Linked DNA regions of Schizosaccharomyces pombe. Changing the gene in region 1 together with any one later gene gives a genetic interaction. Each region holds a gene or a part of one and is shown in the gene's direction. Other genes may lie near its edges. The genes, in order: pdp2 and bdc1.

Region 1 (11,315 bases):
TTAAGCTGAGGGAGCATTTCATTGGCGTCGTCCTTTACTGTTTCCCCACAGAGTCGCAAAAACTTAATACCATGTTGTTTTTTATCCGATTCCTGTTTAATTTGGTAAACGTAATCTTCATCGTAACCGAAAAGTGCACACGTTTGGATGTCTTTGAGCTTATCAATAATATCGATGGCTAAAGAGTTTTTAAGAGCTGCGCAAGCAACGATTTCACCTTTATCGTAAACTACGCAGCCGTTAAGGTGAACACAAGGAAAGACATGTAAACCTAACGCTTCTCTGATATTACCTACGGATGTTCGCTGTCTACCAGTAGCTAACACAAAAGGTAGCTGAGGATAATTTTCACGAAGATACTTTAAAGCACGAAGGTTTCGCGGATGTGGCTTATGATCCGGTCCCAGCAAAGTACCATCAACATCACAGATAATGAGTTGAATATCCTCCGGTTTAGGTAAGACGTTTTTCTTTTGATTAATGTCAATTTCTTTAGACGGCATCTTTCTTTTTTGTATGAGATTTTTAATCAAAACACTGTTAACGTCCAATTTACCTGTCTATGATAAACAATTGATCAATTTATTTAAAAATCAAAGTAACTGTTTTCACAAATACCCACAATGATCTATCGTATTTGTATTTATAGCCCGAAAGATGACACAGATACAATATAACTTGCTGACTAATATTGCTGTATTGAAGAAGCGTACCTGTCGTTCACAGCTGAGGTGATCCCTTTGGTTTGTGAATACAAAGGTTGTGGGGTGTTTAAATAACTTTAAGTAGCATTCCCCACTTTTGGGATGACAAAAGCATGTTGAATGCCGGACCTTCGGTAGTCAAGATCTCGATCCCACTCCGGCGCGTTATTAAAACAGAAAGAGATATTGTACGGCAAGACGAGTATGGAGGGTTTGTAAAATGAAGGGTATGCGTTTGTAGTGAGAAGGAAAGAAGAGCAAACAGCTGTTTGAATAAACATGTAAACAAAAAATGCAAAAAATTATTTAGACAACAAGTTAACGCTAGCTTTGTTCAAAAAAAGATGGAGAGATTATTTAATTTTCCTTTCTTTATTTTCTTTGAAATTTTTTCATTAGGATTTTTATTATACATTTTTCTGCTACGTGAAATTCTGTAGCTCAAACTGTGGGAAGTTCTTTGACATTAGTACAACTATACTTTTGGGACCTTGAGCCCAGAGCAGTTGCCTTTCGCTACACTTACAGTTTCACCAGAACAGAGACTACACAGGAACTAATTCACCGTCGTATAGACATTGTAAGACTCCTTATTAAACTTCTAACTAGCGATGTCCTTATGTAGAAATTAATTATGAGCTGGAAATGAGCTGGAAAAATAAAAGTAAACAAAGAAAAAGGTAATAATATTTAGTTGGATCTATCAATTTATCAAGTTGTCATATTTAATCATTAAATTTTATTTTAATACTAAAATTCATTAACTCAAACTTATATAGAAAGCAAAGAATAGCTTTCTTTTTATTTTTTTTGTTTACCATTTCGAATAAATCTCTTCTCAGTTGGCTTCGTATTTCAACCGTGGCCTTTTAATTGCTTGATTAATCCTTTTATGCTTTTTTTCAATAATAATAATTTTTTAGGCTCAACAAATTTTGATCTGTGAATTTTTCAGCGTATTAATTTTCCATGTTAGAAGATTTTTATTCTACCACCGTAACAATTGTCTCAATTCCTTAAACTGCAAATATGTTTTAATTCTCAAAAACCTTTAGAAATCTTCACACTTGTAAATTAAGTAGGAAACAACATCATTAGCAAATAGCATTAGTCCATTCATCAATTGATTTGTTCGATAGAATTGCATATTACTACCTCATAAACCGCTATTTTACCTTAATTGTGCTTACAGTTGTGTCCAGCAATTACGCTTTACACAAATTATGTGAGCTACGCAGTTTCGTATTCGTTTTAACGATATGTAAAACTGCGGTGAGTTTTCCTTGTCGTCTATTATATCGCAATACACAGGTAATATAAGTAGCAACTGAGTATAGGTATTGTATTAACTAGATTATAATGTTACCTATCACTGATATAGCCTATAACTGAACTGAGGAACGAGGTTCAGCAGTAGCTCTAATTATAGTATTCAGATAATATAGATCTTGATAGATTATTATTAAGATCAATCTCAATATCGTATCATACATAATACGATATATAATTAGAACATGTGACATATAGTGATACGCAATGTAGTGTATTATAGCGTAGTGTAGTATTGCTGACAAATTATACAGCGCAAAGTTTTGCTTAGAGATGTCGAACGTTACCTTTTGAAAGAATACAATACACTCACCTTACCCTGGTATCGCGCATTATAGTACTAGTATATATGGCACAACGTGCGCAAAACCACCATTCATCATATACATTTTTGGCTTGTATATTCTTTGACATATTAAGAAATGGTTAACACGTATGTGATATTAAAGTGAAACTTGATTCATTTATAAATTTCCTAACATTTTCTTTATAGAGAGGTTTACATTGTGTCTGCTGTTCGCACACCCATGGGCAGCTTTGGCGGCAGTTTCGCTTCTCTTCCTGCCACCAAATTAGGCTCTATTGCCATCAAGGGCGCTCTTGAAAGGGTCAATATTAAGCCTTCTGATGTTGATGAGGTGTTTATGGGTAATGTCGTCTCAGCCAATCTTGGCCAAAACCCTGCTCGTCAATGCGCCTTAGGTGCTGGACTCCCTCGTTCCATCGTTTGTACTACTGTTAACAAGGTTTGTGCCTCTGGTATGAAGGCAACAATTCTCGGTGCTCAAACTATCATGACTGGAAATGCTGAGATTGTCGTTGCTGGTGGTACCGAGAGCATGTCAAATGCTCCTTACTATGCCCCAAAGAACCGTTTTGGTGCCAAATACGGTAACGTTGAGTTGGTTGACGGTCTCTTACGTGATGGTTTATCTGATGCATATGATGGACTTCCCATGGGTAATGCTGCCGAGCTTTGCGCTGAGGAACACAGCATTGACCGTGCCAGTCAAGACGCCTTTGCCATTTCTTCTTACAAACGTGCTCAAAACGCTCAAGCTACAAAGGCATTTGAACAAGAAATCGTCCCCGTCGAGGTCCCTGTTGGTCGTGGTAAGCCCAACAAGCTTGTTACTGAGGACGAGGAGCCCAAGAACCTTAACGAAGACAAACTCAAATCCGTACGTGCTGTCTTCAAGAGTAACGGTACCGTCACTGCTGCTAATGCTTCTACCTTGAACGATGGTGCTAGCGCTCTTGTTCTCATGTCGGCTGCCAAAGTGAAAGAACTTGGTCTTAAGCCTCTTGCTAAAATTATTGGTTGGGGTGAAGCCGCTCAAGATCCTGAGCGTTTTACCACTTCTCCTTCCCTTGCTATTCCCAAAGCTCTCAAGCATGCAGGTATTGAAGCTTCCCAAGTTGACTATTACGAGATCAATGAAGCCTTTAGTGTTGTTGCTGTTGCCAACACCAAAATTCTTGGATTAGATCCCGAGCGTGTTAACATTAACGGAGGTGGTGTTGCCATGGGTCATCCCTTGGGTAGCAGTGGTTCTCGTATCATTTGTACTTTGGCATATATTCTTGCTCAGAAGGATGCCAAGATTGGTGTAGCTGCTGTTTGCAATGGTGGTGGTGGTGCTTCATCCATTGTTATCGAAAGAGTTTAGACATTATCATCCTTTAACGATTTGAGAAACCTCTCTTTTTCTTTTTTTTTTGTTTAAAAAGGCGATTTACATCTTACACATTTATACAATTTAGAAGTCGCGTAGATGAAAAGAATTTGAACGTTTGTTTTAACAGTTTAAAAGAAGAAATTTTTTTTCTTTTGCGGCTAATTGTGTACAGCTTATGTGCTATTCTTTTGTAATCAGTATTAGAAAAAAGTAATCCCACATCTCATTATCAGTTGTAAAGAATGGGCTGTTATTAATTATACGAATTGTTGTATCATTTAAAACATTTAAACTGAGCTCAACTATCGATAGTAATAATCCTGCATTTACTGCCTTTACCAGATTTAAACACCCTTGCTTAAAGCAAATCCATTAACCAATATTTTTTCGTTAATACTATATGTATACTCCAAAAATTCCTGATCGTTAATTGTAAGTTAAGGCATTTTTCATAGGATTCCTTAATTATTATATATCGAAGTTGGCTATCTACCACGAATCTTTCCATATCGAAAAACTTGCTGCATTACATTTATCTCCTTATCATCATTATCAGTACTGTGAGAGTTAAGATCAAAGATCAATAGAAGCAAGTCACAAATTTCAGCTTAAGAAGAGTTTGTTCTCTTAGCTTTTGCAAACACCCCTTGTTCTATTTTTTAAAAACTAATCCAGCTGCTCCATTCGAACCAGCATCTCTGCTTGTTTCATAGTAAGTAATTGAAAAAAGTAGCTTGGATTGCAGGTGAAAATGGCATTGTGGGCTACGTCAATGCGTCGTGCCATTCCTGGCATTTCTAAAGCCTTTCTTGGGTCTAACAGAGTTCTTGAAACTGCTGGTGTATCTCAATTGAGTAAACACTTGCTTCCTCAATGGTCCGGTGTTCCACATCGCAAAATTTCCGCCAGTGCCACAAACTTTAACGATAAGGTTAAAGAAAGTAATACCCCAGATGCCAATGCTTATATCCGCTCTGGTCATATTAAGGCCGCCGAGCATGAGAAAGTTAAGAAAGTCGTTGTAGTCGGCTCTGGTGGTTTATCCATTGGCCAAGCCGGTGAATTCGATTATTCGGGCGCTCAAGCTATTAAAGCTTTGCGCGAAAGCTCTGTCCATACTATTCTTATCAATCCTAACATTGCTACTATCCAATCCTCTCATAGCTTAGCTGATGAGATCTACTTCTTGCCTGTCACTGCTGAATACCTTACCCACCTCATTGAACGTGAAAACCCTGATGGCATTCTCCTTACATTCGGTGGTCAAACTGCCCTTAATGTAGGTATCCAATTGGACGACATGGGTGTCTTTGCCCGTAATCATGTCAAGGTGTTGGGTACTCCAATTTCCACTCTTAAAACTTCCGAAGATCGTGATTTATTTGCCAAGGCTTTGAACGAGATCAATATTCCTATTGCTGAATCAGTTGCAGTTTCTACCGTCGATGAAGCTCTTCAGGCTGCCGAAAAGGTTAGTTACCCTGTTATCATCCGTTCAGCGTATTCCCTTGGAGGTCTTGGCTCTGGTTTTGCAAACAATAAGGAGGAATTGCAATCGATGGCTGCTAAGTCATTGTCTTTAACCCCCCAAATTTTGGTTGAAAAATCATTGAAAGGCTGGAAAGAGGTTGAATACGAAGTTGTTCGTGATGCTGCTAACAATTGCATTACCGTCTGTAACATGGAAAACTTTGATCCTCTTGGTATCCATACTGGTGATTCCATCGTCGTTGCCCCCTCTCAAACCCTTTCTGATGAAGAATATCATATGCTCCGTACTGCTGCCATTAAGATTATCCGTCACTTAGGTGTTGTCGGTGAGTGTAACGTGCAATATGCGTTGAGTCCCAACAGTTTGGAATATCGTGTTATCGAGGTAAATGCTCGTCTTTCTCGTTCTTCTGCTTTGGCCTCTAAGGCCACCGGTTACCCATTGGCATACACCGCTGCAAAAATTGCTTTAGGTCACACTCTTCCTGAACTTCCCAATGCTGTTACTAAAACTACCACTGCTAACTTTGAACCCTCTTTGGATTATGTTGTTACTAAGATTCCCCGTTGGGATTTGAGCAAGTTCCAATACGTCAATCGCGAAATTGGATCTTCCATGAAAAGTGTCGGTGAAGTTATGGCCGTTGGTCGTACTTTTGAGGAATCTCTTCAAAAGGCATTGCGTCAAGTCGATCCCTCCTTTTTGGGTTTTATGGCCATGCCCTTCAAGGATTTAGACAATGCCCTCAGTGTACCCACCGATCGTCGCTTCTTTGCTGTTGTTGAGGCAATGCTTAACCAAGGCTATTCTATTGATAAAATTCATGATTTGACCAAGATTGACAAATGGTTCTTGAGCAAACTCGCGAATATGGCTAAGGTTTACAAAGAGTTGGAAGAAATTGGTTCTTTGTATGGACTTAATAAAGAAATCATGTTGCGTGCTAAAAAGACTGGTTTCTCTGATCTTCAAATCTCCAAGCTTGTCGGAGCTTCTGAATTAGACGTTCGCGCTCGTAGAAAACGTCTTGATGTTCATCCCTGGGTTAAGAAGATCGATACCCTCGCAGCAGAATTCCCGGCACATACGAACTACTTGTACACTAGCTACAACGCATCCTCTCATGACATAGATTTTAATGAACATGGAACTATGGTTCTTGGATCTGGTGTCTACCGTATTGGTTCAAGTGTTGAGTTTGATTGGTGCGGTGTCTCTTGTGCTCGTACTCTTAGAAAACTTGGTCATAGCACCATTATGGTTAATTATAATCCTGAAACTGTTTCTACTGACTTTGACGAGTGTGAGCGTTTGTATTTCGAAGAATTGTCCTATGAAAGAGTTATGGATATTTACGAGATGGAAACCGCATCTGGCATTGTAGTAAGTGTTGGTGGTCAACTTCCTCAAAATATCGCCTTGAAGTTACAAGAGACTGGTGCTAAGGTATTGGGTACTGATCCTTTGATGATTGATTCAGCTGAAGACCGTCATAAATTTTCTCAGATTTTAGACAAAATTGGTGTTGACCAACCTGCTTGGAAAGAGCTTACGTCTGTAGCCGAGGCAAGCAAATTTGCAAATGCAGTTGGTTATCCTGTTTTAGTACGTCCTTCCTATGTTTTATCTGGTGCTGCCATGAGTGTTATTCGCGATGAATCTAGTCTAAAGGATAAGTTAGAAAATGCTTCAGCTGTTTCTCCTGATCATCCAGTTGTCATTACCAAGTTTATCGAGGGTGCTCGGGAACTCGATGTTGATGCTGTTGCTTCCAAGGGTAAACTTTTAGTTCATGCCGTTTCGGAACATGTTGAAAACGCAGGTGTTCACTCTGGTGATGCTACTATCGCCCTTCCTCCTTACTCACTTAGCGAAGATATTTTAAGCCGATGTAAAGAAATAGCCGAGAAAGTATGCAAAGCTTTCCAAATTACTGGTCCTTACAACATGCAAATTATCTTGGCCCAAAACCCTGATAAACCTGATACTCCTGACTTGAAGGTTATTGAATGTAACCTTCGTGCTTCTCGTTCATTCCCTTTTGTTTCCAAGACTCTTGGCGTTAACTTCATTGACGTTGCTACTCGTTCTATTATTGATCAAGAAGTACCAGCTGCTCGTGATTTGATGGCTGTGCATCGTGATTATGTTTGCGTTAAAGTTCCCCAGTTCTCCTGGACACGTTTGGCCGGTGCTGACCCTTACCTTGGTGTTGAAATGAGCTCCACTGGTGAAGTTGCTTGTTTCGGTAAGGATGTAAAGGAAGCCTATTGGGCTGCACTTCAGTCTACTCAAAACTTTAAGATTCCTCTTCCAGGTCAAGGTATACTTTTAGGTGGTGATCGACCTGAACTTGCTGGTATTGCTGCTGACCTTTCCAAGCTTGGATATAAACTTTACGTTGCTAATAAAGATGCTGCTAAATTATTACAGCCTACCTCTGCTGAAGTCGTTGAGTTCCCTGTTAAGGACAAGCGTGCTTTACGTGCTATATTTGAAAAATACAATATTCGCTCGGTTTTCAACTTGGCTTCTGCTCGCGGCAAGAACGTTTTGGATCAAGACTATGTGATGCGCAGAAATGCTGTTGACTTCAACGTCACTCTTATTAATGATGTTAACTGCGCCAAATTGTTTGTTGAGTCCTTGAAGGAGAAGCTCCCTTCCGTTTTATCTGAGAAGAAGGAAATGCCATCAGAAGTCAAGAGATGGAGTGAATGGATCGGATCTCATGATCTTTAGTTTGCCGCCTAAAGTGTCTAATATATGAGTTCATGCGATTTGACTGTTAATATTCCTTTTTGATTGAATCACTGTTGGTGGTTTCTGCTTAATTTATAGTCTGTTCGTTTCATTTTGCTAATTTCTTGGATGAATTAGCGGTTGTATTTTGGGTTTGTTTTTGTGTTCTCGTTTTGCCGATAAACGTTCTCCTTTAGATTTTTCACATAAACATTAAATCAATTGAATTATTGTTTCCTTTTACTTTAGAAACTTTCTTAAAAAAAAATAATACAAGTCCATTTCCAAATGTTAATATCTTAATTTGTTTTGTTCTTTAATAGTAATGGGCATTTATATGGGCCTAATATTTATAAAAGCCTTTAGAATTCTTTAAACATCCGCTACTACATGTTTGTTAGTATCTCCAACTATTATAACTTTTACTGATCAATAGCGTAAAACTCAATGGCGTTAGCATCCTTACTTCCTCGCTTAATTTTATTTAGAATAAACCTTCGGTTAATGAAATGATACGGTGAGAACTACGTGCTCATTATGTCTACCATCTCACATTAATGCTTCTTCCCTTTACCTTTTACAGGACGTTTTGGGTAATACGGTGTTTTGTAAAATGACTGAAATAAAGGATTCAAGCGTAAAGGATGAAAATCCTGGAAAACAAGAAGAGTCTTCTATTGCAGTTGAATCACGAGAAATGTCAACGGCAACTAACAATTCGAAAAATATCGAAACCACCAGTTCGAATGGAGCAGAAGATATTAAAATCCAAAGGGATGTAGGTGATGATAAGGATTTGGACGATAAGGAAGCAAATGACAAAAGTTCAAAAGGTTTGGAAGAGGAATCTGATTCCAAAGATAGGAAAACTATAGAAACGGATCAGCCTTCCAATAATATTGGCGATATAAAAAGTCAAAAATCTGAGAAGTCTAACGGCAATGCGAGAAAAGAAACCAAACAATCTGAACGCGTCAATTATAAGCCTGGAATGCGCGTTTTAACAAAAATGTCGGGATTCCCATGGTGGCCTAGTATGGTCGTTACAGAGAGCAAAATGACCAGCGTCGCGAGAAAGTCTAAACCAAAGCGTGCAGGAACATTTTATCCCGTAATTTTCTTTCCCAACAAGGAATACCTATGGACAGGATCTGATTCTCTTACTCCTTTAACTTCAGAGGCCATATCACAATTCTTGGAAAAACCCAAGCCAAAAACTGCTAGTTTGATTAAAGCTTATAAAATGGCTCAAAGTACACCAGATCTGGACTCGTTGTCCGTTCCTTCTTCCGAATCAGAAGTTTCTGAAGAAGAATCTGACCAAGAAATGTCGGAACCATCTCCAATAGAAGAAGATTATAATGATACGAAAGCTAGACGCATTACTAGGAAAGGTACAAAGAAAAAAACCGTAACATTTGACCCTTCACTTGAATCCGTACCACAAAAACGCCTCAATGCATCCTCAAACGTTAGTTCGAACCCTGCAAAAAAAACTCGTGTTTCTCCTCGGCGTAGTACTGCTGCTTCTAAAAAGAAAAGCCCTTCATCTAAAAGAGCATCCTCCGACGAGATAGAAAAGGATAAAGAAGAAGAAGAGGGCTCTGTCGCTAATGAAGAAGACGTTGCAAAGAGAACTTTTCACTCACGAGAGCAATCTTTGTTGTTTCTTCGACACAAATTACAAAGCAGCCTGTTATCACCAAAACAGGACCTTAGTCAAGTCGACTATAAATTAGTTCATAATTATCTAGACAAGCTCGCAAACTTCCAAGGTATTGATGTTCCATTAATCCAGAAAACTAAAATTGCTGTTGTCGTGAGGAAGATTTTTTCCTTAGCTGGACTTCCAAAAGAAAATGAGGACGAAGTCAAAAGCATATGTGGAGATATTTTGGAGAACAGATGGAAATCTTTGCTGCAGGAGATTTCATCTCAAAAACAACTGTCAACCGATGCTTCACAAACACAGGATGCATCAATAGCAAATGAAAATGAAACCGAGATAGCTTCTCTTGATGAAGGCTCTGAATCAAAACCAACGCCGTCTCCACCAGCTGAACAGCTCACGGATCAAAAGCAGAATGAAGACAACGAGGATAAAGTTAAAGCTGATTCCAACGGACCAACACAAAACGAGAACGAAACAGCTGATGCTTCAAAAGACATGATAAGTGAAGAGAAAAGTAGCAAGGATGCCGATAATTCTTTAGAAGTTGCTGGTAAAGATTTTGCTGAAGATGGTACCGAACAAACTCCAAATCTAGCTGAACCTGAGGATGGCGTAGCAGCAGTAGATTTGTCAACTGGTCAAAAATAGTGAAAATGTTTTGCGTTAAGAACTAAAACAAACAAATAAACCTTTATTTTTTGGAAGTTGTGTTTAACAATACCACAAAAAACTCAATTCAACTTATACCTTAGACTGTCTTTTTTTTTTGTGATAGTCTTACAACATGCCAATTGCCCTTATTATTCTAGCCTTCAGTTTGCTTTAAATGATTGCTAGACAGAATAATTAACATAATTTAAAAGCTATGTATATTTCTTTAATGAACTGAATAACTGGATTGCACTGTTTTTACTTGCTTATAAATCAAGTTAATCAATCTTTTATTGCTTTTTTTGTAGGCGTATTTTGATGGTAAAAATCATAATTACCGCTCAACGGCAAACCATCTATATCGTGTCAAGTAATACGGTTCGAACACTGAATAACATTGTCAAAGAAGTGTTGCTAGGTTTACAACATTATTCTAACTATTACTATTTTTTTAAAAAAGGCATTTGATTGTAAAAAAATAAAATGAAAAAGTGCAAAAAATAGGATGCGCGGCTTTACATAGCACAGTGAAGATGTTTCAACGAAATTTTTTTCAACAAACTTTACCTACCACAATTGAAGGACGCTATAGTGAAATCAGTATTTACTTTAAGGGGACTTCATTTATTAACTTAATTAAATTAAACTAAGAATTTAGACATGGTTTCATTTTGCTGTGAAGGTAACTTTCTATAACAGGAAGTTCGCTATTATCCTGCGAATTTCCTGCTGTGTTTTTATATAGATTACATTTTTAATGCTAACCAAATTAGTTTGTCAAGACATTATAAAAAAGCCCAAATTGGACCAGCATCGCTCTCGTTGCCATGGCGCATACTTTACTTGTATAGACTGCAATACGACTTTTGAAAGGACCGATTACAGAAACCATACTAGCTGTATGACAGAAGCTCAACGCTATCAAAAAGGTCTGTATCGTCCAACAAAGAAAGAGCTAAAAAAAGCTAAGATGAACGGAAATGCTGTCAACTCAAAAGAGCTTTCACCAAACACTGATAATCAAAATACACCTGCTGGTCCCACTA
Region 2 (9,956 bases), 1.6 Mb from region 1:
ATTCTTAACTTCAGACCAATAACTTCTAACAGAAGAAGAAAGATGTCTAAGACATTGATAATAGATATGAATTGCAAGACATCGAATACGATCTGTAGCAGAGGAATAATCCATAAGGTTGTAATCAATTTTGGGATACTTATCAACGTTAATTGGCCTGTCATATGATAAATTAAGAATTTCAACTAAAGTATTAAGCAAAGGACGTAATAAATCCATAGCATGAAGTTGGTTAATAATTGACAGCTTTATATTGTAAGTGGTTTCCTCAAAATGATAAAAGATAAGATCCCAAACTAAAAGATACACACGCAACGCATGTTCATATTTCTCCATTTTGCTTACCATTACAAACGGATCTCCAGGAAAATCAATAGCGAGAGATAGAAGTTCTGGGCATAATGAAACATCAGGTTCGTAATCACTTTCAACCATGTAGTAAACAGTAAGTTCCTTAAGCTCATGACTTAATTTTTCGCGTAAAAATTTCATACAAACAGACTCCATTTGCAAATCATTCGAGTTACACAACGATGGAAAAAACTCTTGATATTGAAAACTGCGAACAACCTTCCCTGGACAGTTTTCTAAAAGCTTCACCAAATATTGGTTACACATACGTGCGGTTACCGAGTTTCTCAGGGTAGATTCGTGAGTAAAGAGAAATCGTTTCAACAAAAGATAATTCATGGATTCATTAGACTCAACAATACAATCTTTAATATCAGAGTTCATTTCATAGTTCTTGGATAAAGCATTATAAAGTCGAAGAGCAAATAGTTCAAACGATTTTACTATTGGGGCATCCACTACAGACATCTTCATAGCATATTTAATATAATCGAAAATGCTATTCCAATAAGAACCAGATAACGAAAAAACAGTGGGTAAAAAATAGTACATGAAACGAAGAAAGCAACAAACAGGTAATAGCTCTAAAGATTTAATTCCACTTTCAGAACACCAATTGGTAATATTTTCCAAAAAAAGTCTGCATCTTGTGATAGGAAGAAGGGGCTTCTCAGTAATCTGTTGAGTGGTAGCCGCATTCAAAATCAACAGAGACTTAGAAACTTCATTAGCAGAGTGAAGTTTACCTGTTAGATCGTTTACTGCTTTAAAACGAATTCGTTGAATAATTTCAGAATCTACTTCTAATGGCTTCAATCCTTCTAAAATAGAAGATACGAAAATAGGGGATTTTGAAGAGCTCAAGCCCAGCTTTCCTAAAACAACATCAACGTGTTTCTCATCCATTTCTAACAAATTTGAGACAACAATCAAAAAATCTGTTAACCCTTGAGCGGCAAATATAGAAAAAGAAGTAGTATTCTCTGCAGATGACAAATTTTTAAATCTTTTAAACAATACAGGCATTTTCCCATCTATATCATCAATTAAAAGCTCATTTAATACTGTCAAAGCATCCTTATCGCGCATAAATTTAACCACTTCACCTTTGAAGTAGCATTCAAAAGATTCCACAAATATTCCAGCATCTCGGATGGGAACATCAATTATGCTTTGTATGCCATTTTGTAAATAAATTCGTATTAACAAATAAGCAAACGTAAGGTTAAATAAAGCATCACCGTCGCATCCGGTAGTTTCAACATAATATAAAGTGTATAAGGAGGCATGGAATATATGCACAAATTGAGTACCTACGTCTGTCATATCAACATTTATGGGCTCTGAGGCAACTAAATCTAGAAATCCGAGAATAAAATCTTGGTCAATGAACAACTTGTTAGAGAAAAAAGGAATGCAAGAGGATATTTTTGCATCCCAAAAAGAGGCAGGAAACGTAAAGAAGTTTGAAGGGAGTTTTCCAAACGAATTGAAAACAAGAACACACTTATCAGCAGCTAACTTTTCATTTATAGAACCATTCAAAACCTTATTCAATGACCATTCCTGCACTTCTGAACATAGTTTAAGAGAAAAACCGGAATCTTCTAATGCTTTCTCTTTCAATAGGGAGAAGATACTTTCAAAATGAGCTGCAACATGGCCATCATCTTCTGGTTTACTGAAAAGGATCACAGGAAGCAAAGAATACAAGGATTTATTTTCATCAAATATTGTTGGAAGATGAGCTTTCAGAGAATGCAATGATGCGCACAAAATAATCAAATGATTATCAACCCAATCATTCGTAAGAAAATACTCCAAGGTCGTAAACAAAATATTTTTAATCGTTTCTTCTGGAACAAGGATTTCCTTAGACCCAATGCACGCTCTTATCATATCCCAATCGTTTCCTGGGTTTTGCATAATAGCAAATACTGCTGTATCATAGTATTCTACTAATGTTTTTACCAAGGAAATTTTCCCCCTTAGTTTTCCATCAGCAAACAAAGAGGGAAGACTATTTAAAACCCTAATATTTTCCAGTTCATCAAAGGACACTGTGAATTGATTAGCAACATTTTCCCAAGGCTCAGAGAGATCCGCGTAATCTTTAAGAAGTAAAAGAATATCACGAAGCAAAGTAAAGGCTGGAGATTGAGGCCCAAGCTTTAAAATCGAAGAAGGCAAATCATTCACCAAATATTTTTGAAAAAGTTCCTTAACGGGTTTAATCAATGTAGTATCACTGAATATGTGACAAACAGTTATTAACTGGGATGCCGATAAACATGCAATACGTTCATTTTTGTGGGTAGACAATTTCATTAAAAATGACAAACAAGGTCCCAGAATCGACATGACTTCATTTCCAGTTTGAAAATTTCTATTTTTAAGATATAAAACTGTTTGAACGGTTAAGCTTAAGTTACGTGATAAAGAATCAAATGGGATAGTTTCAATGTCCATAGATTCATCATTAAAGAAACCAAATAACACTTCGTTCCAGAGCGAGGCGAAATCTGAATTTTTATCGAATACACTTTGCAAGCAATGATCGAAATCAGACGTTGAACAGCGTAGAACAAATTCACCTTTAAAATACCTGGTAAATATAGTCCTTAAACGGTCACGGACATGATCCTTAATTTGAGGATCGGAAGAATCGGTATAAACAAATGACAAGAAATTGAGTAAACAGTCATAAACTTCAGTAGATAGGAAACGTTGTTCTTGATTTGCAGTTTCTAAGAATGCATCACACAATTCGTCTACACTTTCAATGGAAGGAACGAGCTGCATAGCGCCTATACTTTTAAACAAATTCAGCAAGGATGTGTAAAACCCAGAATTAGGAAGGCTGATTCGCTTGGTGATCAAATTTGAGAACAACTTTGAAAGAGGACGTTTTGAATCATTTGCAAATTGGTGAACCTCGTTGGGGAAATTAGAAATCATGTTACTAAGAAGCCTAAGCATAGGGACGCAGGTCAAACTAGTTAGTCGTGAAATCATTCGTGAAACACGTTTAAAATATTTCTCTTTATATTGGGTAACAAAAGGTTTATCATACTTCAAGATAATGAGCAATAAATCGCTCAGGCTCACTGTGACACCATCCTGAGGTGAGGAAACCAAAGACCAAAATTCGTCAGACTTGAAAAGTGTAGACAAGTTCTCGTAAAGAGATGACTTAAAGGTTTGCTTATCTATCTTCTTATCTGTCTCTAGATTTTCTAAATCGGCAGTCTGTTTGAAAAGAAAAGAAAGGGTCAGAAGACAGCTAGATTTAACTCTGGTAACTTTCGATTCAGCTTCTTCATTTGAAAAAAAACGCAAATCCGTTAACGATTCTTTGTCTTCATGTAAAAAAACATCAGTGACTATAGGTGCGATAGTAGATCCAAACTTCAGCCAAACATGGGGCCACTTTTCTTCGGAGAGTAAATTTTTAAAAGAGTCTTTTGCTGATACAGAGACTGCACGATCTGAATCAAAAAAACCCATAACCCAAGGTGTGATATAGAATTTGAGCCATGGTGCAAGTTTTTTTTGAAGCGCAGAAGATAGAACAGACATGAAGACAAAGATTTTTAACCGCACATGTCGTTCCACTTCTATAGATAGTCGAGGAAATAAAACTGCCAAAGCATTTAGAAACTGTTCATTGTCAAACTGTGATGGGTCATTCCACTGAATTAAATCTTGTAAAGCTCGACATTTCGTTACGATGTCACGCTTTTGCAAATTCTTCACAATAACAATCATTTCTGCGTCTAAACCAGACAAGTCTGGAGGCTCATATATCGTACTAAAATTTGAGCTGGACTCATCCAACGCAATTTGCAAGGATGAAAACGATCCTGACATCGATTGCATCCCGGGATTTTTACGGCTATAAAGAGATTAGCATTTCGGCACATACATAAAGAAAAAAGAATCGTTGTATTTTTAAACAAACTTCCCCAAAATATGGAAAAGTATGGATTTGTAATAACATAGGTGTTCTGCATATATCCAATGAGAAAGACCCTATTTTGTGTGCAAACCCATTTTGTTACCATCTTCTCACATCTTTACTTACCCGTATAAATCCGTAGATTTTTTTTTCATCTTTTTTTTTAGTTTACAATGCAATGGAATGCAGCGGATCAATTTGGCACAAAGAATGAAAAATTACAAAGGAAATCAGATATCAGTCTGTCCGACGTTATCATAGGTTATTGATAACGTTGTTTTAAGCAATTCATTGTGGTATGCAATGCTTTATAAACTGATACTTTAAAGCTTAACTATTTGTGATGACGGAAAAGGAATTAAGTAGCTTGCTAAACTGTATATCATGTCAGCAATACTACACTACGCTATGATACACTACGTTGCGTATCACTATATGTCACATGTTCTAATTATATATCGTACCATGTATGATACGATATGGAGATTGATCTTAATGATAATCTATTAAGATCAATATTATCTGAATACTATAAATAGAGCTACTGCTGAACCTCGTTCCTCAGTTCAGTTATGAGCTATATTAGTGATAGGTAACATTATAACCCAGTTAATACAATACCTATACTCAGTTGCTACTTATACAACCTGTGTATTGTAATATAATAGATCACAAGGAAAACTCACCGCAGTTCTACGTATCCTTAAATCAGATACCAAACTGCGTAGCTTACATATCAGATTCTTTAATTGCAATCGCAAAACTTATTTAAAGTAACTTATCAAACGGTGTCATCTACAAAATACCTTATCTAATTTAAGGATGCAGTAAAAATACGATGATTTTTATTGCGATCTGTTCAATATTGCGTTAGTTACAGAAAACGTTGGAAACTTGGTTAGTATGATGTGACTATCCAGCAAAATTTAAAGATTTTACGCAAAAGGTTTATAGAACATAATTCACTGGTATCATAGGAATCAATTACAATTTGACAAACTGCAATTCTATAGAAGTCTTCAAACTAAGACATTGAATTATTAAGATATGCAACATGTGTAAGGTTGGCAACTAACGTAAATTATTTAGCATTGTTGCGTTAATGAAGTTTTACAGCAATCTCTAACGAGAATTTAGGTTTTACGCGCACGCCGTATGAAGGAGGTAGTACACTACGAAAAGAAGGACTCCCTTTCTACCGTGTCTTGTCTTGTAAAATTAGTGGAGATGATGCAAGTATAGTGCATAATGAATATTGCTCAAGAGGTTGCTGTTTTACAATATCTTGATATTCAGCAAGAAAATCCTAATGCTCCCAACGAAGAACTCTTCAATCGAACGGCAGAAAGCAGCCTGCTTTTAGAGCCAATTGAACAAGATCAATTAAAGGATCTGGTCGAGGAATGGATGCATGATAGCAATAAATCTGATTCAAAGCTTCTCTCCAACCAAGTTTCTCAAAACGATAATGATGCTCGAAAAAATCTACGAAAAAGGCTGCGGAACGATGTCCTAAAGGATTTGGCTGAAGAGATACAGGGATGTGAAAAAAAACTGGAAAGCTTATATGAAGAGGTTGCAAAGGCAAAGGCAAAAGCTGTGGAGGATCAACTCGCACTTGAAGAAGCTGACAAGGAAGCAAAAAAAGCGAAAACTGAAGCTCCTGTAGAGGCTGCTAATAAATCTCTTCGTTCTAGAAAGAAAACACCAGAGATTGCAGCTCCTGCAAATATCGAACCCGAAGTTGCACCCACAACTAAGACTCCAAAAAAGCGCGCTGCCCTGTCTAATGAAGAAAAGCAGTCTTTGAAAAAGTTCCAAAGTGCAATGCTTCCTATGCTCGACAATATTTCTAATCACAGGTTTGGAGCACCTTTTAGTCATCCTGTAAATCGTAAAGAGGCACCAGATTACGATTCTTTAGTTTATAAACCTCAAGACTTACGAACATTGAAGAATATGATCAAAGAGGGTAACATCACGGAAGTGGATGAATTGTATCGAGAAGTTCTTCGAATCTTTGCTAATTGTAAAATGTACAATGGCAGCGATCCAGCCAACGCCATGTCCATATGGGGAGATGAATGTTTTCGCTACACAGAAGAGCTTTTCGATATTTATCGTCAGGCAAGTACCCGTTCTCAATGAGTGTTTTACATTTTAATTATATTCCTTAACATTTTTTGTTTATGCTTTGGATTCATATCATTTTTTGGCTATAATTTTGACGACTTGGGGGTACATATTTTTTAAATGGTACTATATTTTATTTTTATCAAATTTATGTTTTTTTTTATATCATAACCGTGTATTTATTTCGTATAGATTCAAATCAAGTATGAGATAATTTACAATTTAGTTTTTTGTAACTATATAACAGCTGGTAAAAAGTTTCAACTTCCATACGTTCATATAAAAAAAAAATAAAATCTTCAATAGGTAAAATTAAGCGTTCTTCAATGTTGACTCCATTCTATAGTACTAAGATCGACACCCTCCTGAACCAAATCCCATAACGGGCTCATATTCCTTAAGAAAGAAACTTGTCTACTCACATTTTCAATAGCATAATCAATTTCGGCTTCAGTTGTAAATCGGCCAATACCAAAACGAATAGAACTGTGAGCATTTTCATCACTCTGACCAATTGCACGCAAAACGTAAGACGGTTCTAGAGATGCGGATGTGCAGGCAGAACCAGAAGACAGCGCGATATTTTTCAAACCCATAAGCAACGATTCCCCTTCTACATAATTGAAAGAAATGTTGACACAACCTGGATATCTAGATTTAGGGTCGCCATTCAAAGATGTATATGGGATTGCAAGAAGGCCATCTATTAATCTTTGGGATAGTTTGGAAATATGTGCATAATCATACTTCATTTCTTCTTTGCATATACGGGCCGCAGTACCAAATCCCACTACTTGAGATGGAGCAAGAGTACCACTTCGTAAACCTCGTTCCTGACCTCCACCACTAATAAGCGGCTCTAAACGTACACGAGGACGTCTTCTAACATAAGCGGCTCCAATTCCTTTAGGGCCGTAAATTTTGTGAGCAGAAATAGACATTAAATCAATGTTCATTCGATTGACGTCAATGTCAATTTTTCCATATCCTTGAGCAGCATCTGAGTGAAAGAAAACCTTCTTCTGTCGACAAATTTTGCCAATCTCTTCTAGTGGTTGACAAACACCAATTTCATTATTGACGGCCATTACACTTACACAAACAGTATCAGGACGTATGGCGTCACGTAATTCATCCAAATTAATAAGGCCATTAGTTTGAACAGGTAGAAAAGTAACTTCAAACCCTTCTTCTTGGAGAGCACGTAAGGAATCCAAAACGCATTTGTGCTCAGTTTGAACGGAAACAAGATGCTTTTTCCTACTTTTGTAAAATCGGGCAACACCTTTCAAAATAGCATTATTTGATTCAGTTGCGCCAGATGTAAAAATAATTTCTCTTGGATCAGCATTGATTACAGATGCTATCTCTTGGCGTGCATTTTCAACAGCTTTTTCTGCTTCCCAGCCATAGGCGTGTGTTCGACTATGTGGGTTTCCATAAATTCCAGTGAAGAAGGGAAGCATACTATCTAGTACACGATAGTCGAGAGGAGAGGTAGCTTGAAAATCCATATATATAGGATGCAATCCCGTAACCGTACTAGCAGCGGTTTGTGCTTGATCCAAAGTTACTGTTTTCAAAGAATTTTCCGGTATGGGCTCTTGAACCGCCGTCATGTTTCCTAGCCCGTACATTTGTTCACGAGGTTTATTGCTCATTGAAGGTTTGTCCATACGACTGGAAGTCATAAACGACCTACCGTAAACTCCAAGACTCTGTCTAACATTATTAATATCCTGACTCTCTCGCTTGACAAAAAATAAAGCACTTCGTAGTTCAAGAAGGCATCTTGCTCTAGAAAGCATCAAACTTCCCATTTTGGACATGGTTGTTTCCAAAATAGAGGAAATTTTGCTAATTCTTTATTTATTTCCTAAACAACAAGAAACAAGTCCTTTTTAAAATAATTTGGCAGTTGCTAAGTTCAAATTTTGCGATCTGACTAATAAAAATTTTGGTTGGCGGCGTATCTGAAACCAACCAAAACTAAGCTTCGACCCAATACATGTAGAGCTGCGCAATTATCAGTATGTTATCATTGCATCGTAAACGACGGAGACACTGTTCAATCGAATAAAAACTGTAATAAAGAGCATAGAGACGAGCAAATTAAAATCAAATGTTTGCCTTATATTTACTATGTTTTCACCTCATCTAGATAAAAATAAAAATAAAAATAACGAGACGTTGCGTAGTATACTGTATTTGCGATTCGGCACAATTACAGGAAACGATCAGCATTGCTGCGAAGTATGCTACGTGAATACGGAGAAGGATGGTTAAGGGAATTTGAAAGGGTCAGACATACCAACTACCAGAATTACTTGATGAGCTGGAAAGGGTTTACAAAGGCACTTGCGCGTACGCCGCAGACTCTACGCAGCAAGTTTAATGTTGGAGAGATTACCAAAGATCCTATTTATGAGGATGCTGGAAGACGGTTTAAGTCTTTAGAAACGGAAGCGAAAAAGCTGGCTGAAGACGCCAAAAAGTATACTGATGCTATTAATGGGTTATTGAATCATCAAATTGGATTTGCCGATGCTTGTATTGAAATTTACAAGCCTATTAGTGGGCGTGCTTCGGATCCTGAATCGTATGAGCAAGAAGGCAATGCGGAAGGTATTGAGGCTGCCGAGGCTTACAAGGAAATTGTATACGATCTCCAAAAGAATTTGGCTTCTGAAATGGATGTTATCAACACTCGCATTGTCAATCCAACTGGTGAACTGCTCAAGATTGTTAAGGATGTAGATAAGCTTTTGTTGAAACGCGATCATAAGCAGCTGGATTATGATCGTCATCGTTCATCTTTCAAGAAACTTCAGGAAAAGAAGGATAAAAGCCTTAAAGATGAGAAGAAGCTTTATGAAGCTGAAACCGCCTTTGAACAATCTTCCCAAGAATATGAATATTATAATGAAATGCTGAAGGAGGAGTTACCTAAACTATTTGCATTGGCTCAGAGCTTCATTGCTCCCTTATTCCAAGGATTTTACTATATGCAATTAAATGTCTATTACGTTCTTTATGAAAAGATGAGTCACTGCGAAATTCAGTACTTTGATTTCAATACCGATATTTTGGAATCGTACGAAAGAAGACGCGGCGATGTTAAAGATCGCGCAGAGGCTTTGACGATTACTAAATTTAAGACCGCTAAACCGACGTATAAACGACCGGGTATGGGACCGGGTGGTAAAGATGCAACTGCTTCTTCTTCTTCTTCCTTTTCGTCAAAGCGTGAAGAAGCAGCAGCCGAACCCTCCTCTTCGACAGCTACGGATATTCCACCCCCATACTCAACGCCATCGGTTGCCGGAGCTTCCGATTATTCTACCCCAAGTGCAGGTTATCAAACTGTTCAGACGACCACTACTACAACTGAAGCAGCAGCTGCTCAATACCCTCAAGCGGCCTTTCCTCCCCCTCCAGTTATGCCTCAACCTGCTGCTGCGGCAGTGACCACACCTGTTGCTGCACCGGTAGCAGCAGCTGCAGCCGCAGTTCC

Evidence for each region.
Region 2: mutations in pdp2 (region 1) and bdc1 together harm fitness more than expected from each alone (negative genetic interaction), as found in Schizosaccharomyces pombe (2 studies listed by BioGRID).

What each region holds. Positions count from the first base shown.
Region 1 is NC_003423.3:4,038,367-4,049,681, reverse strand, and holds pdp2 (PWWP domain containing protein), read left to right. Parts: upstream 1-8,512; 5' UTR 8,513-8,559; coding exon 8,560-10,266; 3' UTR 10,267-10,508; downstream 10,509-11,315. Other genes in the region: odr1 (haloacid dehalogenase-like hydrolase ), read right to left, coding at 1-503; acetyl-CoA C-acetyltransferase Erg10, read left to right, coding at 2,456-2,466, 2,527-3,703; arginine specific carbamoyl-phosphate synthase Arg4, read left to right, coding at 4,464-7,946; SPOM_SPBC215.06C (LYHRT family protein), read left to right, coding at 10,930-10,951, 11,043-11,315.
Region 2 is NC_003423.3:2,421,075-2,431,030, reverse strand, and holds bdc1 (bromodomain-containing protein 1), read left to right. Parts: upstream 1-5,506; 5' UTR 5,507-5,557; coding exon 5,558-6,457; 3' UTR 6,458-6,616; downstream 6,617-9,956. Other genes in the region: rkr1 (ubiquitin-protein ligase E3), read right to left, coding at 1-4,246, 4,436-4,464; cysteine desulfurase Nfs1, read right to left, coding at 6,766-8,271; BAR adaptor protein Hob1, read left to right, coding at 8,773-9,956.